Struthio camelus: one gene and its partner. The protein of the gene in region 1 purifies or fractionates together with the protein of each later gene. This does not show direct contact. Links are inferred from orthologs where the notes say so. Each region holds a gene or a part of one and is shown in the gene's direction. Other genes may lie near its edges.

Region 1 (15,158 bases):
ATATGAAGGTTATAATACATCTACACTCCATTTTGCACACTGGACACAGTTAATCAGCCAAGACATTTCTGTTTTAGCACGGCTCTAGCTCTTGCCTTTTTCAGTGTAAATACATATGACCCGCTACCAGTTGGAACCAATAAATATAAACATTATATGCAAAAGAGAGCTACCTGCAATATATGAGAATAACCTGTCAATTAGCAACATGGATGCTTCTGGCTACCTGTTTTAATCAATGTGGAATTACTTTGAATGACTCTAAGACTGTAACTAGGATTGGAGTTAGATTTTAGTCTGCACAGGGATCATACATTCCTTCTTGGACAGCTATTCTATTCAGAGGAGTCTACTATATATAGAAGAGTGAAACTCGTCCAAAGCGTTGACTTGGATCTCTGAAGAACCCAAACAGGTTCAATCCACAAGTTGAGAGAAGTTTTCTGAAATTCAGAGCCTAATGCTTCGTGGAGCTCAGTCCTAACACAATTATTCACTCCAGCAAAACATGGACAATTGTTTGGAGCAGAAGATGACTAAACACCTCGGGAAACCAAATCCTAACTGTTAAGTGTTATCAGTGGTTGCCTCACCCATGGATTAGGGTCTGATCTTTATGCGCTGGCTCAGGCGACCCAGCCAAATCTTAAACAAGACGTCTTCAAAGACTGAATCGGATAGGGAGCTATACTAGGTAAAAATAATGGTTCCAGAGCCTACAGATAAGCTGCAGTGAGCATTCACAAGATGAACGTGACTACTAAAAATTACACTTACATATCCAATTCCTCACGACAAATCTTTGAAACGACTATTGATGTATTCATGAACAATACACCTGGCCCAGTGACACAACTGAGAGATGACATATATGATCTCAGTGTTACAATCTCAGAGAATGGCAGTTTCTCAAGGAGAGACTCTAATGCTAACAAAATTAAGAATACCTAATACGCTTTTATTTATTTGCAACCTGAATTGCAGATTCTGAAACAAGATAACAGGCTACTATAGGAAAAATTCACTCTGACCCAACCCTCAAACAAAGGCTCCAGGAGAAATGGTCAAACACATAATACAGTGCAATATAAGAAATTGTAAGGAAGGCTGTTTTACCCAAGCACTCTCAATAATATAGTGATCAGATGGTCAAGTAATATTAACATACTAGTTACATAACTAAGATAATCATCATTATCACTGCATTTAGTGTACCCTGTAAAAATTTCATTCTCTTCAAGGCCTCATTATGCAAACATCACAGGCGTGCTGGCTTTGCTGCGCAGGGCACATGGGTTCAGTTTATCTCAGAAAGAGCTGAAATACAGAAAGAACTGGCAAGGGAAGGACAGCAAAAAGCTGCAATGTGTAACGGGCAAGCCAAACAGATGTAGAAATGTCAGCAGCAGCTTTTGGGATGAGTACTTTGCAGATAATTCTGTAAAAATCACGGACAGTCTTGCTCTACAAAGCTCACCCCGTTCACAAAATTCCCCCTAAAGCAAGTATGATGTCAGTTCTGTATTTGTAAGAACAAGCACGAGTATTCTTGAGTATATCCATTTTCACACAAAACGCATCTACTTTAAAGCACATTCAAAGATCAGTTTATCATAATAATCTTGCTGTAAATACAGTTACCGCATTTAGAAGTTTCACAGCACTACAGCTGAACATAACTGATACATTCTAATACAGACGGAATTCATCTGCTCAAGATTATACTGAAAATTTGTAGCATAACTTTTTCTTCTTGCTTATCTACATACTGAGTTTTTCACAGCTGTCTTTACCCAGTAGAACAATATTAATGCCAAAGTAGCGTCAAAAAGCAGCTATCTTGAAGCAGCAGTGACTATTTTATAAATGATAAAGTCACTCTTCTACTCCTTCCTTCCTTTGCAGTATTTCCCTCTGAAAGCATGGGAGTGCGCTTGCTTGCTCATCACTCTTACTACCCTAAACAACTGATAGCTTTGTTCTTCTGCACCAGCAGTTCTGTTCATGAACACTGAAACCGAATTTCCTTTTTTAGACAGCAAGGACGCACACTTTTTCCCTCTTCTCCCTCCCCTTCTCTCTGCTCCCCTCCCCCTCCTACAGTCTTTGCTGTGCCCTCATCTTACCTTCAACAGCAGAAGAAATCCATGCTGCAGTTTTTTCCTCGGCAGCAGCTCTATGGCAACAGCAGCTCTGAGCCAGCAGTCCTTAACGGCTCTCACTTTTTTTCCTTCCATTCTGCATGAAGATACACGGTTTGTTAGCACAGCAAATTAGCAAGGACAAGTCTGATGTGATTTCAGAAGAAAATGTATTCCTGGGGATACAAAGTTGTATTCCCAGAAGAGCTGAATGTTAGCAATGCAAATGAACAGTAGTAAAGCAAATCAGATAATTCCTCTCGTGTAATGAAGATAAGCTATGTAAAATCACCTTGGTGATACTGAGCTTTGATGGCTAGCAATATGAAAAGAGAAAACTCTGAGCTTAAGATATCACATCCAAATGAGGTCCTGAAAGCTGTAAATATTTTGTCATCGTTTAACTGAGTCTTTTATTCAATATTAATGCATACATGAAATCGGTGGTTTATTTAATTCCTGCTGAAATAGAAGGAGAAATCTTAGTCTTGCCATCCATGGAAAAGTATGTATCACAGTATATTTGGAAATGATAATACAAGCTACGAAGGACAAAAAAAGCGAGCAAAGAAAAAAACCAGTAACTGGGTCGCTACTGAATATCTGTAGTATCAGCTTGCTTAGAAGTGAGGATTTTTCAGACTTTTCTACTTTTAAATTAATCAGAAAAATGGGCTATGAATGAATGCAGAATACAACAGCAAATAGCTGTGTAACACTCAGAAACACACATTATCAGAAACTCGTAAGTAAAACTAGCTAGAACCAGAGAAAACTACTTTGAATAGAGGTACACCTATTTTTTGATTGCAAAAATGCCAATATATTATAAAATAGTTACTTTCAAGACATGTAGGAAATAAATTAATCAATATATTTCTGTAACTCAATGTGAATTCTCACTGCTGGCTCCTGCTGTGTAATGAACAAAGGTTTCTTGTTAACTGCCAATCGCTATGACATGATGTGTGTTAAAGTGCATGCCCTGGATCAGCACAAGCAATGCCACATTTACTTCCGGCTAAAATAGCGTGATCACCTGCATCTTATTGGTGCTCGCACTAGTGGATGTCTTGTCCTTGGCATCAGTGGACTCTGGGAAAATCTGGGTGCAACCTGAAAGGAAAAGAATGGATTCCCTACCATCTTGCACCTTAGATATTCATTTTTGTCTCATCTGGCCTTAGACGCTCATAATGCAAAACAACATGTAATGGCATTCTGGGATGGCTTAAAGCACAAAGGATTGGGAAGAAGGACTGGCCTACAGAGGCCCCCTAACACTAAAAACTAACTACAAAGAGCAGAGCATGAAAGTTACAACGTAACGCTTTGGTAGCCCACTTGACAGCTTTAACTTCATGAGTAGGCATTTCAAGACCCAATCATGACACTAACGTGTCTTTAACACTGTAAAAGAGAAAAGCCTTAAATATTATTTTTCATTCAAAAAAAAAAAAAATCTCAAAAGGGTTGAAAAGAAATCAGTGTCCTGGTGTTTACATTGATTAACTTGTTAACATTTGCCCAGGTAGAGCCTCAGCTCCCCACGCAGCGCTGACTGCTGTAGCCAGAAGCACAGCGTGCACGGCCATCGGTCCCAGCCTCGAACAGCTTACAGTCTAAGAGATCCTGCTAGAACAGGAGATCATAGTTGCCATTTTGACAGGCAGGTGACACTAGGGCGCAAAACTCAAACCACTCATCTACAGTCTCATCCTGAGCCAGTTCCATGACAGAACCAAAACTCAGAGCCTGCAGAAATGCCTCGATTCCATTTTCTTCTAAAACTTAAGCTCAACAGAAACTTCCATTTTGTAGAAATTAAGGTTTACCCTGACGTAATACCTCTGACCTAATAGCTCACTTCATTAATGATAAAGTATTTATCTTCATTCTTTACATTTACATGTTGAAACAAGCTCTATAAACCGCAAAATACTTTGCTCTGGAGGTTAAAATATTGTGGTAAAGAAGCAGACAGAGACATCAGTTAAATTTGCTCACACAGAGGGCTGGACATGGAGAGAAAGGTCTTCTGTTCAAGAGCAATGAAATAATTTCTGTGATACCTTAATCTTGCTGTATAGAGAAGTACTTGTTTTAAATATTCTGACAATAACAGCCTGACAAGACACTCATACCTAAGTTTTCTGTGCACTCCTATATCAGTTGACAAAACGTAGCCATTTTATTGTCACTAATCTGAGACGGGCCCTCATAACTCATACCACTGCACATGAATTCTGCAAAGCACACTGTGACTGGTTTGATATCTAAGAAAAACAATTTGGATGGGAAAGGACAGAGTCATATGACTTGGTCTCATAGGCCAGAACATACAGTGTATGAATACCTATGAGGGTAGGCATATGTACAATAAAGACTAGAGATTTTCATTTTACCATAACCCTGATCCTATGAACATACCTGTATCAAAGCAAATAATTATTTTGCCTCTTTGGTGTTTTCCTCTTGGTTTGGTTCACGTGCATTAGTTCCCCCTCATAAAAACATAAACAACATTCACCTCTTATCAACGAGGAAAGGTTCTCAAAAATAAACACAGAGAAGAGGTCAGCCTGTAGCGGCTGTTCCAGAAATGAAGTGACTGAAATCAGCGCAGCAATTAAAGATCTCAAGTATCATCAGTGGATTCCAAATTGAACAACCGTGAGAATAAATAAATTACATTGATGGTTAACCAACACCAGAAGGAAAAACATGTCAATGACTTTATTTTTTCCAAAAGAATGCATATGCTCAAATTACGTTTTCTCAGAATTGGAAAAAAAATCTGTTTTTTGCACACTGCATCTAACAGAAATATGTGACATGCAGCATTTCATGGTAGTGTAGAAGTCTTCCAATTCACTTGAAAAATAAATGCAACTACAGTACTCTTTCAGGATGTTATCAGCAGCTGCCACCTGCTTAATCTCTCTAGCTTTCTTTACTCTTGCAATAGAAAGAACAAACTGCCCTGAAAGTATGCATACAACTTCTATTAAAGACTTTCTAAGCCTCCTCCCGTTACAGATCTCAATGTTTTTCAAACATCTGCCCACACGTAACCTCTGAGGCAAATACCATTACCCCCACTTTAAAGAGGGGAAAACTGAAGTGCAGACAAAGTTTTGATTTTATTCCAATAAAAATCAATGGCAAGAGTCCAATCAATATCATCTGTGCAGCTTTAGTGCTAAAATTACATGATTATGGTCACATTGGAAGTCTGGAACAGAGAAGAGAGCTAAGCTGACTCTGTGCCCTGGGCCCAGCTACAAACCTTAGTAAGAAAGAATATAACCTCTCAGTCAAGGAGAACATTCAAGACTTTAAACTATGATCACTGAGTTTTATAGCACGCAGAGGATTGAATGACTAACTACAGAAAATCATAGGAAAAAAAATGTTTTTCTCTTGCAAGTACTTAGGTTGAGATTTTACGGTGCCAACATTCTTCCCATTACCTGAATAGTTACTAAAATCACAAGACCACCATAAATGGTCCCTCTTTATAGTTTTCTTATTTAGGATTTGTTTGAAGAATTAACAGCAATTTACAAACTTCCTTTTAGAAAGGAAATATTTATTTTCTAAATTAATATTACTTTTTTTTATTAGTAGCCCAACCTAATGCTGATTGAAGGCAACAGGAAACTTCTCACGAGTTCAAAGGGCACTGGATCGAATGATAGCTATCTCCTACAAATATAAGAAATATTTAAGTTTTCTTAGTTGGCTAGATTTTTGACCCTCTGGGATATAGCTGAGATTCCCAGGTTCCACTAATCAACAAAATTATGCAAAACTGAAGCAAGGACACTCCTTGGAGACTTGCGCTCAGAAGCTATTAGGGAATAAAGGAGCACAAGCCACAAACCACCATGCACACGTTTCAGAGTCAGCCGGTAGGCAAAAGGCCCTATCCAACCCACGTCCTTCACAGGAGTCTGAATAGCTTGACTAGATTGGGCACGTGGGACAATTAAATTAAGTGGCCTAAATCCCACTGGTTTTCCATAGTGCTCGGCTCCTAAATTATTTAAGCATTTTTGAAAACGTTCCGTATTGGCCTAAAGCACAACTATTCAGCGAGACGAAACTTCTATCAGGAGAGAAAATTCCTTGTCTGGAGGTTCACTCACTTGATGAGAACATAACTGAGATTTTACAACACAAACAAGTTTGATTACAAAGAGCAGAAATATCTTTCAGCTCATAACAGAGCTGTAAAATAACTTTGCAAAAGAACAAGAAAACAAACCTAGCAGCCTAATATACTGAAAATGTCATAATGTGGATTTCACATTACATTGAGGTACTAAAGATATAAAGGAAGCCTGTCGGTGCATTAAAGTCACTGCATCTTACGAATTACTATTATTTAGTTTGTTTAGATTATGATTTCAGTAGAATGACAAAAGAGCTTAAGTTAGTAGATAATGAAACCCTATGACTGTATTTAAATAACAAGCAAGAGTCTCTTAGAATTTAGTCTTTCTCTCCTGGAGATTTTCCAGAATCCTTTGCTATTCACTCCTACGTCCGAGGAAGCATGCCTTTGCTTTTCACTCCTACGTCCGAGGAAGCATGCCTTTGCTTAGGTAGGTTCCGTTGGCAATGATGAATTGAAAGACATTACCTCTTGCTAACAACACCCTAACAGGACATGTTGATCCTCAACACGATCTGCTATGAATAACCTCTGACCATCTACAATTATTTCTCTGCCCTGCTAGTTGTGGCAGTCAAATAAGAGGTGCTATGTGCACTAACACAGGACTTGCAAATCTAGGAGAGGAACTCAGGACCTTTCCGGTTTCCAGGGGAGTACACAATGGTTTCACTGTATATTTAACTCATGGTATAAGTTTTTTGAAATGAGATTTCAGAAATTTTCTCATGTAAACAGTAACATTGCCTTTGCCAGAATATTGATGAGCAGGGACCGCTCATCTGAAGCCCAGTTTTGGGAGGTGTCATCTCCTACCGTTTTCTTTAGATACTTCATTCTTTACTTCAGTCTGCGTGAATAATGACTGGAAACCCAGCTGCTAAACCAGCCAGTCCACCTGCTACCCTGTGTTAATAAGTGTGTAATTACGTTCACTCTCACTGAAGGTCTCATGATTCACCAAGATTTGTCTTCTGTAGAGACATCCACTGAAGAATACAGCGTGCGCATATAATTGTGACCATGGATCCTAATACTGGCAGGATAGACAAAACACTGATTTAGTAACTTTTTGGTATCTCTTCTGCCTAACAATAACATGAACCTGGTCCGTAGGCAGCAAGTTTTCAGTCGAAACTGCTCTAGAAAGTTTACTAAGATTTAAAGCGAGGAGGCTATAATAAATTCCAGTATTAATCCAAGACTCTGTCTGTGATGTTACCTTTTGACACTTTTCAGTGTGATGCTTCATGTTCATAATAGACATAACCCCAGGCAGACCATGGCTACCTCCAGTCTGTACGAATACACAAACTAGGTATGAGATCAAAAATAAAACGTGTGTTTGCCCTACTATCATCAAAGAGATATTTCTCAAACACTGTGTTCACGGACAAGGTTTAAGAGTATAAAATGTTCCCAGTTTTATCTCCGGTATAGTTATGGTCATTACCAGGATGACAATCCCGGATATTTGCTATAGTGCATCACATAAAGACAGAACTGATTCAGTGTCTCCAACCCTTTGCTTATCTAAAGGTAATGAAAGCAAACTCTTTCCTTTTTTAATTTCTGTAGTACAGAGGACAAAAAAAAAAAAAAAAAACTAGACACCTAATTCTAAGATGGCAATATTGTTTCAAAAATACATTTAAAGTATGTGGAAAACGATGGCGTACCTTCCTGAGCTTCTCACACGTCTTTTTCACTTAGGTGTGCAGATATACGAAGGTCTAATTGCAATACTTAAATAATATGTATATACATTCTCTGCTTTCTTAATAAGCATTCATGATTCTTAATTCAAAAATAAGAATTGAGTAGCATTACTTCTTCCATCTGGACCCAATGTCATTTTTAATAGGAAATCTAACCATGCCTGCCCTAACTTGTGCCCTACAACGTTCTTTCTTCAGTCCATCCCGTTTCTTTGATAACTTGCGGTTTATGGCTCCACGTAATCTGCTATCATCCATTTAAAAAGACCCCCAGTTATTACTGTGGGGCTCCCTAAATTACAAATAGAAGCAAGAAGCATCCTCGATATTTTCCACCAAACGTGGGCAGAAACTTGAAAGCATTATGGTGGATCAACAGAAGAGCTATGTTTTTGTCATTCAGTTGGGATGTTGACAAATCCTGTGCTATCTCTACAGATAATACTGCCCCAGTCGAGGCTACCATAGAAAAGAGCTAATATATATTTAACCTCTCAAAGATTCTCTCTATGGATATTCTAGATAATTCCTAAAAGGCTGGGTTTTTCAAGCATTGACTCCATTTGTTCATATATAATCACTATGGAAACAACTTCAGAAGTGACACACACAAACCCATCAAAACGAAGGGAAACACTGCTTACAGCTTATATTATTTGCCTACTTAAGAAATACCGATGAACGGTAAAAACCTGATCAGTGTATTAAAAGGATCAGTATTTTTTTTTTTCTAAAACGGCCTGAAAGCAAGGAGCACGGCCACTAGCCGTGTCATTGATTCAGTCCGCACGACGACGCCTCCCCTAACGGCACGGTTCTGCTTGACTTCAGGTTGCACTAACCTTTACACGGGCCTTGACAGCATTTTTCACGCTACACCACGAGCCGCAGCACATCACCGCGCCGTGTTTTGAGCAGCAGCCTAGCGAGCACTCTGCCTCACTCCCACAAACGCTCCCCAAATAGGCCTTCAGCCCGTTTAAAAATGTTCCACTTTTAACACCCCAGAACCATCTGCATGATTCAGTCAGCTGCCGCCTCGGAGCCAGGAAGATGAAGCATCGCTGCCTGCGCCTCCCCTGCCCACAGGCGAGCCGGCTCGGCTCTGTCTGCTCACGCCGGGGGCGGTCTCCACGCAGGACCGCAGCGCTCGCGTGGGCCGGGCCGCGGCGGCAGGGAGCCGCGGCCGGGGGGAGAGGGGGGGGGCTCCCGCCCTCCCGCCGCCGGCGCCACCATCTTCCTTCCCGTCACCTCGCGGCCTCCCGCCGCCGCCGCCGCCGCCGCTCCCCTCACCGGACTGCGGGGGGGGGGGGAGGGGGAGGGCTGCGGCCTGCGTTTGGCTCCGCCGGGGAAGGGGGGGGCGGAGAGGGCGACCCGCGGCCCAGCTCCACCGCCCCGAGGAAGCCAGGTGCCCCGCGCCCAGCCCCGGGCTCCAAGACCGCTGACATGGCGGGGGAAACGCAGCGCCCACCCCGCCCCGCTCCCCCTCTACCCCGCCCCCCGGCACTGCAGCAGGGGCCGGGTGGGAAACCCCGTGCGCAGGAGCGGGAGGGGGGGGGCGGAGAAGGAGGAAGGAGGGAGACGCAGTCACTCCGTCAATGCTGCAATATCCTTCCGCGAGGAAAAGTAGTGCCAGGCTCCGGCTCACCTCTTGGCCCCGAGAGGCTCAGAAACCTCTGTGGAGGATCTCGTAAAGTGTGTCGAGGGGAAGCTCTTGCGGAGTGGCCTCAAACGGGGGTTTTTCATGGTTTTTTTCCTGTGGTGTGAGACGCATATCCATGCGCGGCGAAGAGCGAAACGAGTCCGGCAGCGGGTGGCTATATAAAGCGGCCGCCGCGGAGGCTTTGCCTTTTCAGTTGAGGACAGAGCTGGTGTTCGGAACATGTCAGGCGGCTCCGCGGATTATAGCAGGTATGGCGCGGCGCACTGCGGCCCTGGGCCCTATATTTTGTACGGTAGGTCGATGAGTTGGGAAAAGGCGGTGGGGCGGGGAAAGGAGCGAGGTGATGTAGGGGCGGGTGGCCGCGCGCGCGAGACGGGGCTCTGAGGGCGGTTAGACAGCGCCCGGCGTCTCGGCTCCTCCCAGTTCTAGATGTTTCCGTCCCGTTTCCTTTTTTCCTCGGGGTTCAGCGAGCCTTTCGTTCCTTTCCCTGGGATTCGTTTCTTCGCCGTTGGCTCTCTTGGTAGCTTTCCTCTCTCCCCCCTTCTCTTCCCCCCCTTCCCCCCCCCCCCCGAAAGGGCTATTTTTATTTTACTCCGCTCGTCGCGTTGCGCTATGGCTTAAAAAGGCAGTTTCATAAAGGTGCCTTTCCCCGAAACCTTTTTTTCTTCTTTTCTCTTTCTCTTTCCGATCCTTCCCCCGCCACCGGTTCCGCCGTTGGTTCGCTCCGGGTTGCGGGCCCGGCTGAGGGCGAGACCATTTTTCTCCGGAGGGGGGAGGGGCGCGGCCCGCTGGGCGTTCGCCCGGCGCCTTCCTCCGCTCGCTCACCGTAGCCGGTTTGCGCAATCCCAGGGGTGGAGCTCTCGCGAGAGTTCCCCGGCTCTGACGCGGCTGGGGCGGGGGGGGGGTGCGTGCCGCAGCGGAGCCGCGGGTCCCCCCCCTCCCCCCCCCGACGCCTGGCGCTGCGGCTGAGCTGGCTTATAGTGCGCAATGGCGACCGTTTCCCTGCCGCTCGCCAGAGCTGCGGAGCCCAGCATGCAGAGCCCCGCCTCGGGCGGATGCCTTCCGTGAGGGGGGCGCTGTGCACTGGGACATGCAGTTGTTGCCGTGTCGGCTAGGTTTTTATAGGAATTAATGTTCATCGGGAGTTGTGCCACGTTGTTGGGGGGGAACGGTTTTCTAAAATCGGAAATCCGCTGTGAAGACTCCCTGCGGAACGAAGGCTTTGACGATCCTGTGTCACACTGAGAACTTTGGTAGTGACTGAAGCTGACTGAGGAATTGGGCTAGTGGCACCCATGCTAGTGGGGAGAGGATAGAAGACTTTGCACTGGCGAAATATCAAAGCACCTGCTAGAAAGATCTTTCACTGGTTCCAGTGTGATGCCAACGTGGCTTTTTGGCAGCCAAAGTGCCAGCTCCCTTCCGTGTGTTATTAACTACTGTGTTCACAGTTTCTTCTTTTTTGGTGACAGAGACCATGGCGGCCCAGAGGGAATGGACCCCGATGGTGTCATTGAGGTGAGCACATGTGATCTGACTTAAGAATTTAATCATTGCTGGAGATAAGTGTGATTGTTGTAATAATTTGACTTTTTTCTTTTTTGCAGAGCAATTGGAATGAGATTGTTGACAATTTTGATGATATGAATTTAAAAGAATCCCTTCTCAGGGGCATTTATGCTTATGGTTTTGAGAAGCCTTCAGCTATTCAGCAGAGAGCTATTATTCCATGTATCAAAGGTATGAAAAGTATAATCGACTCCTTTGTTGTTAACAGCAACATCAGATAATTAGGAAAGTGTTGTAAAATGGCTATACTGTTAGCTTTCTTAGTGTGTGATGTTACTGATTTTTAATCCTTACTGAACAAGTGACATGATGGTACACCATCTTTCGGGACTGACCTGAAATGGAGAGAACTCTTTAATACTGATCACTTATTTCAAAGGGAATAAAATAAAACTAAACATGAATGACCTGTGTGGGAGCAGTAAATGTATATCCTACTTTTTTTAGGGTATGATGTGATTGCTCAAGCTCAGTCAGGTACTGGCAAGACAGCCACATTTGCTATTTCCATCCTGCAGCAGTTGGAGATTGATCTCAAGGAGACCCAAGCACTAGTATTGGCCCCTACCAGAGAACTGGCTCAACAGGTATTGATAGTGTAGTTAAAAAAAAAAAAAAAGCTGCTTGTGTGTTGCATAGGTTTCAGGTTTCACAACTGTGGGACAATTAACAGACTTCTTAAGGGGCTGTAACTAATATCCATTCAGAACCCTTTTTGTGTTGAGTGATGGGGGAAGTAAACTGGCCTCTGTCCCACAAGTTCTCTGCCTGCTTTTGAAAAGTTCAGATGCCATGCATGTGGAGGGTATTCTGGGGCAGGGTTGCAGGTACCAGCTGCTATGCTGTTTATAGTTCTGAAGGAGCATCTTCAGCAGAATGGCAAAATACAAGACATGTTATTCAAGCACAGTGTTCTGAGTGGAAACAAAATGTACTTTTTTGGAAGCTGTTTGAACTTGCGTGCAGTTGTGCAACATGAAAACTGCAGTGCGCATGTGGTCAGTTCATTGTTTTTGTAACTTGTGATGTTTTTCTGACAAATGTTATATTGCATGTTTACTTCACTCTCCCAAGACGTGGTGTTCTGTTTTACTCGGTGGAAGTGCTTGAACAAAGCTATAGGATACTGCAGTTTTTAGGATGAACTGAAAACCTAGCTTGAGTGGATTTAAAAATTAAGAGAATAGAGAATTTTCAAGAGAATTCTTGAAAGGGGACAGAACTCAAAATGGAGTAGAAAATGGATTATATACAGCTTGCTATTTTTCAACTAGAATACACTGCAATGTCCGTGTGTTAAGTGAAGATTCTCCTTAAAAGTAAAACTAAATGTACTAAATTACATATGAGCAAGAACTCTTGGGGGGGGGGGAAATAGTTTTGTGGAGCAGGAACCTCTGATCAGAATGCGTAGTTCTTATACTTTGAAGACATGGGTGAGATGAGACTTGGGTTGAAGCCTGGCATATAGCAGTGCACTTGTTCTATATGGATTTTTTTTTGCAAGTGCCTAACATGCAAGTGTTAAATGTTAAACTTTTGAGTTCATGCCTGGAGGCTGTGTTTTTTAACATAAACGAATATGCAGAGTAGTCACTTTTCTAGCTATATCAACTAGTAAGGGCCAAAATGTAACTTAAGCTTTCCCCTCATTTAAATTCTCTAATTTAGCAGCTTAAATACAAGTGATTGGACAAAATCAGTAGTAACTTTATCTTCACTGTACCTGCATTAGGGTTGCATACTCTTTTCTTTGCTCTGTTCATGTTCAAACTCCATAAGCATCACTGATACAGGGTTTAAAATCTTGACTGTACCAGGAACCACTACTAACAGAAAGCTCTTCTTTTAGATTCAAAAGGTAATTCTCGCCCTTGGAGACTACATGGGTGCAACATGCCATGCTTGTATTGGTGGCACAAATGTTCGCAATGAAATGCAGAAGCTTCAAGCTGAGGCTCCGCACATTGTGGTTGGAACTCCAGGGCGTGTGTTTGATATGCTAAACAGACGCTACCTTTGTAAGTATTGGGTTGAATTTTACTTGTAGTAACAAAGTTAGTCGTGATTAAAAATTATGAATGTCATGCCTTGAAAGAGGACTAAAGAGATGCATTTGCAACCATTGTAGAAAGTTGTCCTGGACTAATTTCGAAAGGACAGTTACTAATAGAAGTATTCAATACACTTTTGAAACTTCATGAATTTTTCTGTTTTAATAGCACCCAAATGGATCAAAATGTTTGTTCTGGATGAAGCTGATGAAATGTTGAGCCGTGGATTCAAGGATCAAATTTATGAGATTTTTCAAAAGTTAAGCACAAACATCCAGGTAAAAAACATTTTTAGTTGAACTGTTTTTATGGGTGGGGATTTAATTAGTGTAGCTGAGGAGAAGTGCTGAATTCTCCATGTCCACGTGAAAACTGTTCTGTGCTGTTCCTGTCTGCCTTGACCTTGCAGGTCAGAATCTGTGGTTTTATGTGGGTAACAGTTTTTACTGACTTTATTGTCAATGATGTCAGCATTCCTGATTGCAGGCAGAGTGACAGATCTGAAGTTGATATCCTAGGTGGTAGTTGACTAACACCGAGTATGCATTTTAGGTCGTGTTGCTGTCAGCTACAATGCCAATGGATGTGTTGGAAGTGACCAAAAAGTTCATGAGAGATCCCATACGTATTCTAGTGAAGAAGGAAGAATTGACTCTGGAGGGTATCAAGCAGTTCTACATTAATGTGGAGAGAGAGGTTTGTATCACTTGTACTTACTCTGGTTAGATGAGCTCAGACAATGAAATTCTTTCGCCTTCTTGTTAAAGCACTGTGCTAAAATTACAGAAATCAAGGCTGTGCTTTGGTTTCTGTAGTAATGCTAGTAGAGTACACGCAAGAAGAAGAAAAACTGCACTGGATCCAAAATGACTAGGGTGGACCTCTTTCTTAATGTCCAGTGTCCTGTGTCTTAAGATTTGGTGCAACAGTTGATGCAGAAACTTCTGCTTGATGTCTTGCTCAGCTTTTGGCATATTGATAAGTACTTACTGGTTCATGTTTACTTGATGATGTGGCTTTTGAGTTCTTAACTCCTTGTTGAGGATTTTTTTTTAAGTCCTGGGTTTTCAACTGCAGCTTGTTTTCTGATCTTGTTTTGTTCAGGAGTGGAAGCTGGACACTCTATGTGATTTATATGAAACGCTGACCATTACGCAGGCTGTTATTTTCCTGAACACAAGGAGAAAAGTAGACTGGCTTACAGAGAAAATGCATGCCAGGGACTTCACAGTCTCGGCTCTGGTGAGAACGGGTATTTTCATGTAACTTCTGATGTGCCATAAACATACTAATAAGTAATCTTGATGAGTGAAAAGCAGGAAAAGTTATGATATGGCTGTGCGGTGCTGTATTATCGTTCCCCCTGCTTAAAGAAAACTGCTTCCTTCTATCCCTACCTGCCTTGCTCCCACAGCAGGTAGGGACGCTGGGTTTCATACATGACTTACTTTTTAAATGATAGTCCAGTACTGGAAATACAGAAACTTCTTTTTTTTTAACTCTACAGCATGGTGATATGGATCAGAAGGAGCGGGATGTTATCATGAGAGAATTTAGATCAGGATCAAGCCGTGTCTTGATCACTACTGACTTGCTGGTGAGTATTAATCTTAGGCTGCACGCTTTTTCTGTGCTGTGCCAAAAGCTTCGTAATTCAGTGAAGGTTCTCATAGCCTGAACTAGTCGGAGCTTCTTGGAAGAGTAAGGACTACGCTCCACTATGGGCTACACAGTTGTAGTTCATCACTAACCATGTGGTCAACAAAAACATGGGGTAAATAATTTAACCTTATGACCTGTGACTTGTATTAAAGATTTTATATTGTTTTGTAG
Region 2 (15,163 bases), on another chromosome or scaffold:
CACAAGTGTGGCGGTAACACAAGATGTGCATTTTAAGAGCCATGTAAAATGGTAAGAGCCACTAACTTACTTGCATGATAAATGTTGCTGATACCCTGAGCCTGCGCATCATGAACAGAAGCTGGTATTTTTAGCAGACGGAGTGCGGAGCTTTCTACGGGAAGGGCAGCGTTAAGCAAGGTGAGCTGGTGCGTGTGTTTGCATCTGCAGTCCTGTTCTAGAGCGTTTCTAGAGGTCGTTGGTAGGCAGTCTGCAGGCTGACGTTACAGGTGGTTTTATTCCACAAAATCGGTATTTGGGTGACAGGGAAACTTCAGAACTGTGCCTCGTTTCAGAGACTAGCAGGGGCGGAATAGCTGCATAAAATCTTCTAATTAGAAGCAGCAGCTGAGCTGTTGGGACTTGTGAGCTGCCACTAAAATGCTGATTACTTTGACGTGCGAGAATGTCTGGAAGAGCCTCTTGATCAGAAATTGCAAAGGTTTCTCCTGTTGGAATCAGCTTATTGGGATATATTTGTGTCCAGAGTAGCTAATCCATAAGTTGCTGAGTTTCCAGCACTGGGGTAGAAAACCTGCTGTCTTCCTGCCAGAACGTGCAGGTGTTTGGGTCACCTGGGAGCACAGAAGGTGATTTGGTAGATGCTGCCAAACTACAAGAATAATTTTGGGAGAAAAAACACAGCCTCTGGTCACCAAAAAGCCTATTACTTACCTGGTTTTGATGATTTTTACATTTCTGCGTTGATATTCATAACTTCCAGATTGTTAACGGGTGTTTTGTTCAAGCCTGCCAATTAGCATGGGCAGCTCTTCTGAAGTGGTGAGCGTAAATGAGAAAGAGACGGCCTTTCTATAACTGAGAAGGAGAAATACTTAAAGCTTCAATCAGTACCTTGATGTTACCGAGGTCTTTTCGCTTCCAGTGCTCTAACGTGAGTGAGCAGATGATATCAAAACGGGTCATGCTGCTTCCGGTAGACCAGAGTGGGATGCACATGGGAGTGGTGGACAGTATCTTCTACCCAAAGAAAATGTTTTACAGCCCACGCTGTTATCTTGGCTGCCTCACCTTGCAGCTCAGCGGCACAGCTGGAAACAAAACTGATGCCTTCTAGTTCAGTGCCGCACCACCAAAGCTATGTGGCGTGAGCTGCATCTGAAATACCTAGGACATCTTCATTTCACGCCAAGTGATGTCTCAATAAAGTTTTTTGCGACCTAAAGTTAGAGCATTAAGTATCGTGTAATGCAGCAGTATTTCAGCTCATTTCCGTAGTGTGTCTACCTGTTCCTCCTTTCCCAGCCTCTCTGAACTTCCATCATTTGAATGGATGTCCCAAGGCTTTTATGGTTTGTAAAACTCTTGATGGCTGTCAGGCTGTGAATTCAGTTACTGAAGGCTCCCCCTATTACTATTTTGTTATAAGATAATTGTTTCTTATACAGCATCCGCTTGCATTCTCATTTGGGAGTGAAACACCTTGGGTGGGGGGGACAACATTTTTTGTGGTGGTTTAAAATTGTAGTAATTTTTAGGGTCACTGAGTTCTGTTTAAGTCAGGCTCAGCAGCTGCCTGTAAAGTTAATACAGCCCTCCCTTGTATGTCATATGCCACGGATGCACTCAGGGAAGCTGTTAGCAGGAGCGTCAAGAGCATTTTATGGTGCAACTTGCATCTCTGCTGGAGCAAGCAGTCTCGCTCCCTTCCCTGCTGCTTGGTCCGGTCTGCCTGCTGCCTCCTCCGTTACGCTGGCCTCGACGTTAGCGTGGCTGGGTGGCGAGCTAGGGTTGGAAGAAAAGGTTCGTTTTAATCCAAATCAGATCCGTGGTCTGGTTCAGCGAGCAGCTGTGAGCGTGCTTGTACTGGCACGGGGCAAACGGCAACGAGAGGACAGGACCGCCTCCTCTGGCAGCGCCACTGCCAGATGACAGCTTACTGCTATATCTTGTCTTGTGTCCTGCTGCCTGCAGGCATGTGCTATTTAGATTACATGTCTGTGACAGTAATTTTGCTTTGATACCACCTGAGTCCTTGCAGATCCTATCTCTGACTTCCTTTACCCCAGGGAGCCTTGAGAGCAAAGTCTTGTCTGTCCTCCCTTTGGGTTAGGAACTAGCTAGAAATAGCTCGGAGAGCGTCCAGCCACCCGAGTCATCTATAGAGGTGTGCGTTCATGCCGTAGGATGCTTACAGATATATTCTCGTTGTTATGACTACATGTATTTATCAGTTTGTACATATTTTAAGAGAGGAAATTATATCTTGGTGTATGGCCTCTGAAGATGACAAAGGAACAAAAATCAAGGTTTGCCTTCGATATACGACTGTAAAGGGCCGCACCACCTAAACCTGTTGTTCCCAAGTGGGCAGAAAGCGAAGGAAGGCTTAGTGAGTGATTCGAGCAGCACAGTCGCACACGCCTGGCAGATAAGATCGGTAATACTTTCATTTACTCTTAAGAGATACTGCCCAATATTGCATGGCATGAGCCCAGCTTCCCTGGTTGGCGCTGTTGGGTGTAATTTTTGGGGCCATGCTGCAGGCTGACGAGGTGCACGCTGTGCCAGCATAATGCAGCTCCGCTTCAGACTTGTTTGGTGTATTTTGGAGCACAGCCTTCATCTGGCATCTCTCCTTGGGCTATTGGCCCTTGATGATTCAATACGTGATCCTCCTTGTAGCTTATGGAGAAGCCTCCAGGGCTCAACCAGTGCTTGTCACCGAGCCCCCTGTTCTGTCTCCTTTCTACCTTAAATTTTTTGTCTCCTTCAAAGGTACCTTAATTTGGGATTGTGGCTGGAGACCTTCGAAGCCGCTCTGAGCAATGGGAGCGGTGACCGAGCAGGACAGGCCTCTGGAAGACTAGTGGGTCCCTTTCAAGTTCCTAAGCATAGTTTTTTCTTTTTTTTTGCAGCGTAACAGGAGTTTTAATTAATACAGATACGTGCAATCATAAATAACGCTCTTAAAATTAAATGGAATTTTAAGGCTACATTGGCATATTCCTCTTGATGCCATTGCCCCTCTAGAGAGGTAATACCATGAATTTCCAGCTGAAGGGAGTTGATGAAATCTATTGACTTTTCCATCGCTGCTGAGAGTCCATATATTGTAAGAATAAAATATGAATAAAAACATTGAAGTGCTTGATGTTCTGCAGAGAAAAGTGCACTGTTAAACAAATACAGACTTATTTTTAAGCAAGTCGGCTAGTGAAAAGTTTTCTGTGCGCAAGCATACAGATGTCCATGCCAGAGATGTGTTTCTGGCACTTCACTTTGCGTTATCTGCTACCTCAGCTGGCACAGACATGAGGCAGGGAGGGGTTGTGATATTTTTTCCCTTTATATTTTGCAGCTCAGGCCAACCCGGGGTTTAATCTCTCTCAGTTTGGGCTTTGAAAACCCATTTCCCGGAGATGCTGTGGTTAAAAACACACACAGGACAAAGCTCACAACCGCACGGCTGTTCAGTCGTTCTGCTGCCGCTCGTGATGCGCGGCCCTGCGTAGAGCAACCTGAACCAGCCCTACTTCTCTGTCCTAAAAACCCCCACCAAAAACGCACTCTGAGAAAAATTCCAGCAGGATTAGCAGGGTTTATATGCAATTCCCCCCCCCCCCCCCAAAAAAAAAAAAAAACCCACCCATTCTGGCCAGGTCTAAGCTGAAAATAGGAGCTTTGCTTTGGCACTTCAGCTGCAGTCAAAAAAGACAGAGACTAAGTAACCAAATCAGGTTGCCCTTAGAAACGCGTTTGTACTGGGCAAAATAATTGATTGGATTTTTGTCGCATTTGCACTGATCGAGTATGTTGGCTGACAGCTCCCCTGATAACTCACTCCTGACGGCTCACGGGCTGAAGGAAATGCGTCGGGGTGAGGCGAGGTCTGCGGATGATTTACGTGCTAGTGAGCTGTCTCCATTTCTTTTTAATTTAGAGATGCAAAACTGAGCCTGAAAGTAATGAGCTCCAGATAATTAGGTGCTTGTCTGCAGGTGTAGCTATTGCAGCTGCCTACAGCTGGTGCTCTTAATATTGCTGATTTTTATTTTAAAATATTACGGAATGAATGGGAGGCTGGAGATGCAGATAATTTGCTGCAAAGAGTTGGGTTGTTCTGTCCCTCACCTCCCCAGTTTTACTTTAGCGGTCCTGGCTGGCTTGCCTGCGAGGTGTATCGCACATGGGCTGAAGACTGCAAGGAACGGATGATGATAAGTAGCGGAGTATTGTGTTATACGGGGGTGGCGGCGGGAATGCCTCGAAGACTGATGAAAGTCTGATCTCGTTTATCATCATTAATGATTAGCCAGATGGGAAGCGGTATCTCTTGCCTTAGTATTAAAGGGGTTGCGAAAGCCTTGCTAATACAAAAATGCAGTGCAGTATGTTACCCGCAAACGTTAGGAAGGTGAGTGCAGAGCAAAAGGTGGTGCAAAATGGATGCATGCCAGAAGAAAAAAATCAATAGTAGGTATTTCATGAGGTGGGTAGTTTAAACAAGTGCTTTAGGTGGGGGATTTGGAGATGGGTTTGGGCATAAATAGTATATGCGTTTTTAACGGTATGGTGGCTTGCTGCTACAGTGCAGCTTTAGCACGTTTAGTCAGGAAGAAGCGTTGTGTCGTGTGTCAGGCGGTGTGTGCCGTCCTTAAGCGCACGAGTACAATCATACGCGTAAACGTGAATGCGTGCAACTGCGGACGGAGGGGAACGTTCTTCAGGAGGCATCAAAAACCCGTCAGGATTAACTCGTGATGGAAAAGGCGAAGACATCCGAATAGCTTGAGGAGCAGTGGCAGGGCTGGGAGAAGGAAAGGGAAACGGTGCTTTTCGGTAAGCGTTTGAAGGGCGCGTTTTGCTTTCAAGCTGTAGTTTTCAGAGGAGCCTTGGAAAGGCCGGCTTCCGCCTGAGGTGCGCTGGGATGTGTATGCCCCTTTTCTTTTGAAAACTCTTTAACTGGGGCTTTGTTCCCATTCAGTTCAGCGTAAGCATAGATGGGTGACCTGATGTGGCAGGCGGGAGGCAAAGGAAGCGTTTGGGAATCATATAAAAGCTAGTTCCAAGATTAATGATACGTTATTGGGTAAAAAGCTGAATTTCAAAGATGAATCTCAAGAAAAGTTTTAGGATGGGGAGCTTCATTTAAAGTGGGGATAAGTAATGAAATTGCTTGCCGTTGGGAGACGATGCTTTAAGGAAGAGTACCTCAAAGGTAGAGGGATGGACAAGCCTTGTTTCCGGTGAGCGTCAGCTAGTGCAAACGGGGAGCAAGGAAAGGGAGTCCGGCAGCCGGTAACGTCAAACGAGGCAACTGCGGTGTCTAATGGAGCCAGTGAGCTCGTGTGAAACGCGAGCGGTATTTATGTAAGTACGTGTCTGTTACAAAAACAAAAGGTGCACTTTTAAAAAGTATTTCTTGCCAGTATAAAATAATGAACAATTTGGAGCATTCTGTATTACCGTTTAATGCGCAGAGTAAGACTAGGGATTAAAAAAGTGGCTCGCACAACACTTTGTTGATCCGCTTCATGTTCTTACCTTTGGCAAATGGCAACTCGGTCGCGAACGGTGACTCCACGTGTTGCGGTGAGAATCTTTCTGTTAGGCCAGAAAATGTTGAAACGAGCTTAATAATGGCGTTTGCCTGAAGCTCAGTTTGTGTATAAGTAATTCTAGGAGCCAGTGACTCCTGAGGTGTGGTTTGCATCTATCCACAAGAATAGGGGTAAAACGATGTACTCGTCTGTTACGTAGCTTGGTGATTTCAGGCAGTATCCCCACGATACATCCCGTGGGTGCCACTTGAAAAACATTTGTTACTGTGTGTTTACGTTTTTTGAAAGCATTTGACTAACTAGAAATAGGTTCTTGATGTCAGAGTTAAGTATTAGCATACAGATGACGTGGTTTTCTAAGGAATTCACCACCTATGGCTCCTGCTAACTTTGGCAGTGTTTCTTCTGGGTGTTCATTCAAGGAAAAGCTGCCTTCATTTTTATTTCTTTTTTCCCCCTCTGATAAATAAATAAATAAACGAACAAATGCAAACCACTGAAACAACAGCCCTCCGTTACATGCTGACCTATGATACGGCCAGCGCTCTGAATCGTAGTTTATTTTGACATCCGGTCGCTGCGGAAGAGTTAAGTTGCAGCCGTCGAAGAAAACTAAAATAAAACTACCGTTTTACTGCAGAAGGCCGACTCGTTCTTTTGAGGTTCGACTGACGTGCCGTACAGACGGTAAGCGCCTAGTTAATCCTCACGAGGATGAGCAGAGCCCCACCGATGTATTTCACCTCTCCAGAGCATGGTCGCTTGAATTTGTCTCCATCCTTACGTGTTATTTGGCCGACGCTGGGAGCGTGTGGCAGGGTTTGGCACGGCCTGAAGCAACGCTCTGGCTTCGTTCTGCTTCGGTGGTCGAGCCGTGTGGCTCCAAAATGTTTTAAATGAGAGTGGCTCCTGAAAAGAGTGAGACTGTGTTGTTGATTTTTTTTTTTTTTGGCTTAAATTTTGTTGTAAAAGGTGTTACGTGGCCGGGCAGAGTGCATCGGTGGCCCGTGTTGGGACTGGGATGTGCCGTTGGAGCAGGCAGTGGAAAGGCTCGAAGGAGGCTTGAGCAGCAGCCTTGGCTGTTGGTTCCTCCCGACCCTTTAGACGTTGCCCAAAGTAGCTGAATCACGGTCGGGTTTGATTTCCCTGAGTTAATGGTCTCGCGTCTCTCTTAGTAAGAACTGCTTAGCTCTGTAAGTCTGTGCGGTGCTGGATTTCTGTAAGAGCTGGTAGAAGAAGCGAGGGAGGCAGGGGTCCCAGGGGAAAGACAGCGTGCCCTTGCGAAACTAAGGGCTCGGTCCTGCACATACACACGAGGCAACTGAGTTAAGGTTGCATGAGCCGCTTTAATCCTGGCGTTTCCTAAGTCTGGGGCTGTTTGCTTTGTGACTCGAATTGTCCTCGGATGAAGCTTGCGGGCTCGTAGTGACTATTTCGTCACGGGGAGAGCCGATGGTGCTGTTTTGATCTGGTCGTTTCCCAATGCCCAGCATGTGACATGTCACTTGGTAGGTTGGTTGGTTGGTTGGTTGGTTTGTTTTCAAGGCGGCAGTTTGTCTTACCCGGTTTCCTTGCCTCGGATCCTGAGAAGCAGCCCGTCAGGCGGGGAATTTATTCCGCGGGGAGAATTGATTCGTGAAGCACTCGCTAAAGAAATGGGCTTGCGGCGGCGGCGCCTGGTAGCGCGTTGGGGGACAGCGAGCCGTCCCTCTGGACCGGGAGGCCGCCAGAAGCAAACGGCAGAGTGCGTTGCTTGAGGGAGTTTGTGCCGTGATTTAATTCCCCTCCCGACAGGCAGCGCTGAAGTTTTCCATGCCCTTCCTGTAATGCGGCGTGCTCGCCAAGCGCAATGTGCTCTAGGTGAGTTTGTTTTATTCTTTGTTTCTTAAGGCCGCGGCTTGGTTTGATTTTACCCCAAGTAAGGCTAGCTCCCTCTCGGCGCCGCTAAAGCGAGGCAGCGAACGCAGGAAAGCGGAGCGGTCGCCGTTCTGCCCCGCGATACGAGTGACGTGCAAAGGCTTTCTCCGAAAACTTGCCTCTGCCTTTCTCTCCCCTGCCACCCGGCTGCGCCCGCCAGTCTTAGCTTAACGGCGCTGCCTCCTTTGCGACCGCTGTCGGAGAGCGCGTCCCCTGCGACCGAAGCGGGGCGGGAGCGCTGAGCGCGGCCAGCCGAGCGCGGGGGCTGCAGGTAGCGCCCGGGCCGCCCGTGCGCTACCGCTTTAAGACCGCCGGCGCGAGAGCTCGGCTCCGCCGGCGAGATTCAGGCGCTCAGAAGGAGCAGCTGCATGGCACGACCGCGGCCGTAGGCTCCGCTTTCCGGGGGGAGAAATCCCTCATTCGGGACGCCGTTTGCGGAGGCTGGAGCTTGCTGCCAGGTAGGATCGAGCTGCAAAGGACGGGCTGAGGCCGAGGAAGTTTCTGCGAGCCGCCGCGTACGGCGCAGCCTTCCTTGTAACCCTTTAAGTTAGCCGTGCAGTCTCCAAACCTGCTTCAAGGCGCTTCTGCTGTTAGCATCGCCATCTCCTGTGTTGCAGCTGAATTTAAGACGGAGAGGAGGCTGCAGGAGAGATGCACGCTCTTTTAACTGCTCTGGCTGCTGCCCAAATGCCTCCCTGCGTAGAGGGGTTTGCACGGTTCCTTGCACCAGAAAGCTGGCGGGAGCGATGAGCGTTGCAATTTGCAGGTTCCTGCCCCTCTGTAATCTTGCATGATGGTTTTATCTTGCATTTTTCAGACATTTAATACATAATTTCTGTACAAGCGGGAACATGCACAGGGATTATATAACCCTAGGGAGAGCTGGTGAAAGACTTGCTACGTTTCCGGGCAAGGATAAAAATCGTTAGTTGTGGAATGCTTTTGTATACAGGTTTGCATATGTGCCCTTTGGTCCTCACGGGTATTTTTATTCGCATGGAAAGATGCTTGCTTGTTACAGTAAGCTGCAAGTGAAGAAAGGGGCCATCAATGCATGCGAAGGATAAAATGGTTGCTGCTGAGCTTAGGTGAGAAGCACCGTTCTGGGGAAAATGAATCCATTTTGGACGAAAATACAACAGCGTTGTTTCTGCTTGGTCTTGGAAACAGTAGCACAACAGGGAAACCTGTACAAATTCTTGCCGTGAGAGCCTGTTTTAGATCTTGGTACGTGCTTTTCGGTTCTCCGTGGCCTAAATCTAAAAGTGCACAAAATCTTGCAGTGTTTCAGTTCTGTAGCATTGTTAGAGCAAAAAGACAGGCGTTGCACAAGAGGGAAATTCCTGCAAGAAATTCCTCCTGACTTTTATTTAAGTCCTCTGTATTTCTCAGTGCCTCTGAATACTCCAGCTGCCAGGCAGTTCTGGTTTGGATTTTTTTTTTGATTGCCTTAAAGAGAAGTCTCATCTTCTCACAGTCCTCAGAGTGTGGTTATGACTGTCTAATTAAAATATAGCATCCTTCTTTCATGGCAGCTTTTGGGTTTTAGAAAAATTTGATTTTGCTTGCAAATGTTACTCTCTCTGCCTTCCTTCTCCCGCTGGGTCTTTAATAGTTCCCCACATTCCCCAGCTTGCAGTCACTGTTGCAGCCAGATGGGGACTAGGTGGAACTCCCCTTGCATCTGAGCTTGCTTTTATTAATCTGCCAGCAGTATCTGAGTTGTGTGGGTTTTTTATATATCTGTTTCATGAGTTAATGAGCCCTAAGCAGCAACGAACAGAATCCAGAGTTAGTATTAACTGCTGGCTGTCGTCCTTCTGACTCTGCTTCTGAGTTTTGGCTGGACACTGATGGAGGATGGAAAGCTGTAGAGAGTCATTAAGCCTAAGAAGCAGAGACTGTAGTTTCCACTTTACTAACCCGTCAGCTGCAGAGCTGATTGAAGAGGCTCCCTTTCGCATCCACTTGTTCCTGCTCTTCTGCTTCATTGCCCACCCCATCTTTTCTCCCTGCATTGCTGGAAGGAGCTGGGAAAATGGCTTGAGGTTTGGGTTTAGTTTTGTTTTTCAACCCCCCTCTCCCAGGTTTTTGCGTTGTTTGTTTTTTTTTTTTTTTTTGGCATGGATCATTTCCGAGATCTGCACAAGTGCAGCTGAAGAGGATGGCAGTGGATGAGAAGGTTTTTGGGAGGAGGAGAAGGTGGGAAAGTACAGGATCCTCCTGAATTGGATCTAGCCGTACTGGAACAGCGATGTGAAAGAGGTGCCTGAATTATTCAGCATATCCCTGTTTCCTTTGCACTGTAGCTAAACTCTGCCATGGAGCCAGCCTGGTTTTACGTTTTAACTCTTAAACTTCCCTGTGTCTGATGCGGGGAAGCAGGGGGGCAGCGTTTGCACAGTTTGCCTCATGTGTCGGGTTGTGGACCTCTTCATCGCCCCTTTCATGAGAGCAGTGCCTCCAGAAGATGATCTGCTCTGAGGGGGCACTGTCTTCTAGATGTGGCTGAGTGACCTCAAAACGGATGTCCTTGTCAAACGTAAGGGGGAGTGAGGGTGGTCACTCCTACCCACGGGGAAGGGCCAAGCTGCCGGAGGCAGTAATCTTGTCCACTGGCCCAGCTCTTTGCAGAGCGCGTGTTTGTAGACACCAGAAGTTAGAAGTTGGAGATCACCTCTTTCTCCAGCCATCCTATCTCATTAAGAGTTACTGGAATTTAAAGCATTTTTGTCCCTGTCGGTGTCACGTCCAGGTCAAGTCTTCTAGCAAAAAGGACTTGCAGGGTTTCTTTCTAATCTGATGAGAGTTATCGCTTTCCAGAAGCGATCTTAAACGGCAACCCCAAACTCTGAAAATTCATCTAAACTGCTCGTTCCTCGAGGCAGCCCTCTTCCTGGGTGGAAAAAGAGGGGTTGCTCTGCTCAAGGAAGATTATTTTCTCCTGGTTTGTATAAGTTCTAAAATAAGAAAATAAATCCCAACCTCTTTGAGGATGAAGCAGTTTTTCCAAACTTGGGAATGATACCTTTTGAAGTACGGCTTGCTTCGATTGGGTGTCAGAGCTGCCTCAAGATGAGAAATCTCTGATGTGACAAAAGGGTGGCAGTTGGAAACAGCGCCTCTGCCCTCTCTTTCTTCATCACCAGGTGGTTTTTGGTTACGCTGGGTCCGAGGACAGGGCGTCAGTGAGGCGGCATGCAGAAAATGTGAGGGTTTTGCTCTGGATCCCCCCGCTCCCTGTGCAAGCGCAGAGTATCTCTAGCCAGAATCCGCTTTTAATATTTTCACGTTGTCTTTTTCCTGCTTTTCTGGACTTCGTCGCCGTCCTCCACGAAGTAGGCGACGGGGTTGCTCAGGCTTGCTCGGGCAGTGAGCCGCGGAGCCGTCCTGAGTTGCAGACCAGGGCTCTGATCTTAGATCTTCCTTCAGCTCTCCTGCTTGTCGTGTCTTGCAGCACGTTTCTAACCCCTAGTCTTGCCTTTCTGTTGGTGCTTCCCCGAAAAAAGAAATGGATGTAAAATCCTCAGGGCGAAGGTCAAGAGCGAAGCCTTGGCTCCGCTGAAGGCTGCGGCACGTCTCCCCGTCGTTTCACTGGAGCCAGGATTTTACTTGTCGTTTTGCTGTTAAATGTCCGTAAGCATTATGTACTTCTGTGATGCTGTGTAAGTACTAACTTCTAATATTGTTCGTCCTCCACTCGAGAAGCTTGCAATTTTAAAATTTAAGCAATCCGTATTCAGTGGGACTCATTTGATCCCCTGGTAGAGGAACAAGCTCCCGTGGAAATCGACGGGAGTCGCTCACGTCCCCGGGGGCAGATAACAGCTCCGACGCGTCCGGGTTCGGCGCTGCGGCGATGGCAGGTAGGAAACGGCGCTCTCCTGCGCGGGGAGCTCGGCTCCGGCCACGGAAAGCGGTAGCACGTGGCCTTTTGGAAGAAAGGACGGCTCCGCGTTTCCCGTGGCCGGCCGCAGGAGCTGGTCGGTTCACAGGAAGTTTTTGTTCCCGTGTGCGGGTAACGGTCCTCGCGAAGAGGCCGGCTGGGAAACGGGAGCATTGCTGTTCTCCCCTTCCCGTGCCCCAGACCCGGTACAGTGACCGCAGAGGGCAAGGGTTGCCCTTCCTTCTTGAACAGGGCACCAGGAGCTGCTGAGGTGGTTGTGATTTGGCTTTGTGAAAACAGCGTTGGTCTTGTTTTATGCCTTGGGCCGAATACGCCCGCTAAAACCTGGTTATTGGTAGCCAGTGATCCCATTTAGGCACGAGCTGGCAGGTGCGCGCATTGGAGACAAACCTGAGTCTAAGAGGGAGCCGTTCGGCCGCAGAGTGCTGCAAACCGTTGGCAGACGCAGAGCGGCTTGCACCTGGACAGTCGTCGTTTCAACCTTAAAATTAAGCGTTTTGCACGTTTTAAGGAAGAGATGGGGTTCTGATGCGTGGGTCGCTGTCAAGCGCTTTACGGGGTTGGCTGTTGCTGCTGCTGTGCTGCTGGGCCCAGTCCTGCAAAGGTTTGTGCAACAGCATCTCTTTGGAGTTCACAGGTGGAGTGGAAAGAGAGGGCTCTTGTAAGATTGAACCTCGTTCAGACCGAAAATTTAACTTACCCATGGGGTTGGGTGTGAGGCTTGACGTATAAAACGTGAAATCTGAGTACGGCTTTAACTGGAAAGTTTTTTGGCAAGTTGAGCCCAGCTCCTGTGGCAGTGGGAGTCCGGCGTTGAGTAGACATGTGCTGGACCCAGGGCCACAAAACGTTAGCCGAGTGGGGTATTTTTTAATTCTTGCATCCCCTTATTTGCTTTATTCCACAAGTGAAATGGCTTCTGGATGATTTGAGTTTGTTTTGTAAAGTCTTTTCTGTCCCGAATTCCCACAATATCTTTCCAATTTAGGAAGATGACTGCAATTTCCCTTTAAATAACCCTTCCAGCAGATCCAAACGTCAAAATCTGTTTGACAGCCCCTTTCAGAAGTGCTTTTGGTGGGTGGATGAGGAAAGGAGTTGCTGGTGGAAGAGAGGCAAACAAGGAAACAATTATAACGCCGTTCGTGCGTGGTTAGCAAAACAGGCTGGGCCTTTGTCAGAAATGCCCTGCTCATCAGCAGGGCTTGTCTCACTCAATGGGACGGGTTTGTGGGGTTTGGGTTTTCCCTTACTCTTAAAAACCAGAGGTAGGGGATTCTCGTGACAAGAGGAAGGTTTCGTGGATGGTGCCAGGAGCTGTTTGCTTTTGGTTTCTCTTGCCGTGTTTGCCCGTGGCATCGGTCGCTGAAGCCCTGCTTGCTCCTTTTGGGAAAGCGCGCAGGACCGTAGCTGCCTGGTTGCATGCGCGGAGATGTTCGTGTATCTTCTCGAGCCAGGAGGGTGGCTGGCTGCAGTGACCACCGCCGCCGCGGGTTCGGTTTGCGCCCTGCTCCCGTCCCCCTGGAGCACGGCCCCTCCTTCGATGTTGTTTTCCTTAACTCGCTGTGTTGCAGACTCCCCCGAGGTCCCGTGCAGCAGCCCCTCGAGGAGCGGATCTTCACGCCGACGGTCTCCGCTGTGTACAGCACTGTGAGTATCTGCGCCGGGTCCTGCCGGCTTTGGTTTGCTTTGGAAAGGAGCGAGTGAGGAAATCATCGTCTGTTTAAAGAGGCGGGGGGGGGGGGAAGGGGAAGAACTAACTTGATTTGCCTCCTAAAATAAACAGTTGTCAGTGATTCTGGAGGAATGCCATTTTTGTTGCGTGTGAACAAATGAGAGGATACAACAAAACGCTCTTGTAATGCTGCCTCGGGACCGTTGGGTCCATTCCTGTTTTGGTAAGGGTCTGCGGTTTTCATTAGCAGGCGTTATAGAGTGGGTTTTCCTAACTCAGTTCCACTGAATCGAAAAAGTTGCTGGCCGTATCGTCAGGCGGTTTGCTCCATCCCTCTTCTGCCTCCTGCTTCTTGAAGACTGGCTTGATGCGATATATTAGTTGCCACACAACTCTAACAGTATCTTATCGGAAAAATAACCAGAGATTTGTTTTTCTTGTTAAACACCCCGTTTAGAGTCATGTAGCGAGAGAAATGTTTTGGTGGCAGACTGAGCGAGCGTTCAGGATAGGTGCTTTTGGCTCCCGGTCCTGCGTGTTTGTTTATAAAGCTTTGTTATCGAGGAAATTTAGCCTAGAAATGCAGCAGTGTTTATTTGTGAGCATATGATACCATTTTGTTTTTATTCATAGCTTTTCTCTTTTTTTCAAATAGTAATAGCTGGAAGCACAGTATGATTTATAAGCTTTGCTAAATCAGCACAGCCCTGGGAAAGTAATATTTTGCTTTTCTGGTGGGATAGTGCAAATAGTTTTAATGTCAAAAAAAGGCTTTTAAGCGGCGCTTTTAATTATTTGGAAAACAGGAAGAAAGGCTGTAGATGCGAGAAATTCACTGTATTTTATGCAGTACCATAAGCTGCTTATAGAAAAACATAAGCTGCTGTACAAGGTTTTCTCCTTTCCCTTGTGTGCATGAGTAATGTGCGAAGGGGTTATCAGCTACATCTCCGGAAGGGGCAAAAAAGTCTTCCAGATTTGCACCTTGTTCGTTTTGGGCTCTGGAGAAGAGCTTTCCAATTGCCTCTCCCATGTGCCAGGCTCCTGTCAAGTGGTGGCAGGCAAAGTTTTGTAGAACTGAGTACGAGAGCGATGCCCGGGGCCTGTCGGCCCAAGAAACGCAGGGCCTCGGGCAGTAGCGGACGGACTCGGACTCCCTGGGATGGTCTCGGGGCCGGCCAGCAGCGGATTTCCCTGCAGGTAAGTTGGAAAGGCTGGGGAGCAACGCTGGAAAGAGTCGAAGGTTTTGAGAGTTGTGGCTCGTACAGCGGCAGATGACACACCTGCGCTGCTGGCTGGCTTTTGATTTTTGCTAGCAGTTTTTTTTTGCTCTAATGGACACTCTGTCCTCCGTATCATATACACACACACATATATATATACACACACACCCCCATACACAAATGTAAAACAAAAGCCGAAGAACAGGAATTTACAAAGAGTCCCAAGAAGTCATTCAGTTTCTGTCGTTCTATATATGCCCCATGCAGCAGTTAAAAGCCACTTTAAGAATATTAGAATCCCTTTTGGGGGGAAAAAAAGATTTCTTTTTCATCTCTTTCCCCTGGAAAGACATAATTCAGATGCCTCTGGGAAAATATGACTGTAAAAATTTAAATTAATGTAAAATATAACAGTAGCTGTGAAGAATGACCTAAAATAGCTTTTCAGTGTGGAAAAATATCACTCTTTGATATGTTACAAGAATAGAAGCCAGGACTGGGAGTGTCCCTGTTCTAGGCTTTAAGAAAACACAAGTTTGAAAGGAAACTTGACATTTTAAGGAAAGAGGAGAGATTTCTCAGCTAGGCTCCTTTTAAGCTTTTGTCTGAAACCCTTGGCAAATTGCAGTTTTAGAGTAAGTCCTAAAAAAGATAGTTTAGGATGGAGGCGGCCCATGATCAGAGGTACATGACAAACTCATTCATCACAGGTCTCTGCAGTAAGCGCACAAGTAACAGTGCCGTGTATTGAAGGCCGGGGCTTGCAACTAATATGTCTTCTTTGTATTTATGTTTGTTTAATATATAGTTTATCTGGCTATTCAGAAAATCACGAACTACGAAGGTGCGAGAGCATCATCCCTTACACCCAGGAACT

What was found.
Region 2: the proteins of EIF4A2 (region 1) and EIF4G3 purify together in Homo sapiens (affinity purification with mass spectrometry; 3 studies listed by BioGRID and IntAct, with this or other methods). This does not show direct contact. The link is inferred for Struthio camelus from reciprocal best matches to the Homo sapiens genes EIF4A2 and EIF4G3.

What each region holds. Positions count from the first base shown.
Region 1 is NC_090950.1:23,107,952-23,123,109, forward strand, and holds the start of EIF4A2 (eukaryotic initiation factor 4A-II), read left to right. Parts: upstream 1-9,589; 5' UTR 9,590-9,921; coding exon 9,922-9,950; intron 9,951-11,174; coding exon 11,175-11,220; intron 11,221-11,309; coding exon 11,310-11,442; intron 11,443-11,570; exon of another isoform or gene 11,571-11,641; intron 11,642-11,718; coding exon 11,719-11,858; intron 11,859-13,123; coding exon 13,124-13,292; intron 13,293-13,493; coding exon 13,494-13,603; intron 13,604-13,877; coding exon 13,878-14,021; intron 14,022-14,077; exon of another isoform or gene 14,078-14,256; intron 14,257-14,429; coding exon 14,430-14,567; intron 14,568-14,638; exon of another isoform or gene 14,639-14,766; intron 14,767-14,832; coding exon 14,833-14,922; intron 14,923-15,158. UniProt on the Homo sapiens protein: ATP-dependent RNA helicase which is a subunit of the eIF4F complex involved in cap recognition and is required for mRNA binding to ribosome.
Region 2 is NC_090962.1:8,960,431-8,975,593, forward strand, and holds the start of EIF4G3 (eukaryotic translation initiation factor 4 gamma 3), read left to right. Parts: upstream 1-7,398; 5' UTR 7,399-7,413; coding exon 7,414-7,424; intron 7,425-7,737; exon of another isoform or gene 7,738-7,939; intron 7,940-7,999; exon of another isoform or gene 8,000-8,015; intron 8,016-11,447; exon of another isoform or gene 11,448-12,820; coding exon of another isoform or gene 12,821-12,828; intron 12,829-12,962; coding exon 12,963-13,038; intron 13,039-15,163. UniProt on the Homo sapiens protein: Component of the protein complex eIF4F, which is involved in the recognition of the mRNA cap, ATP-dependent unwinding of 5'-terminal secondary structure and recruitment of mRNA to the ribosome. Functional homolog of EIF4G1.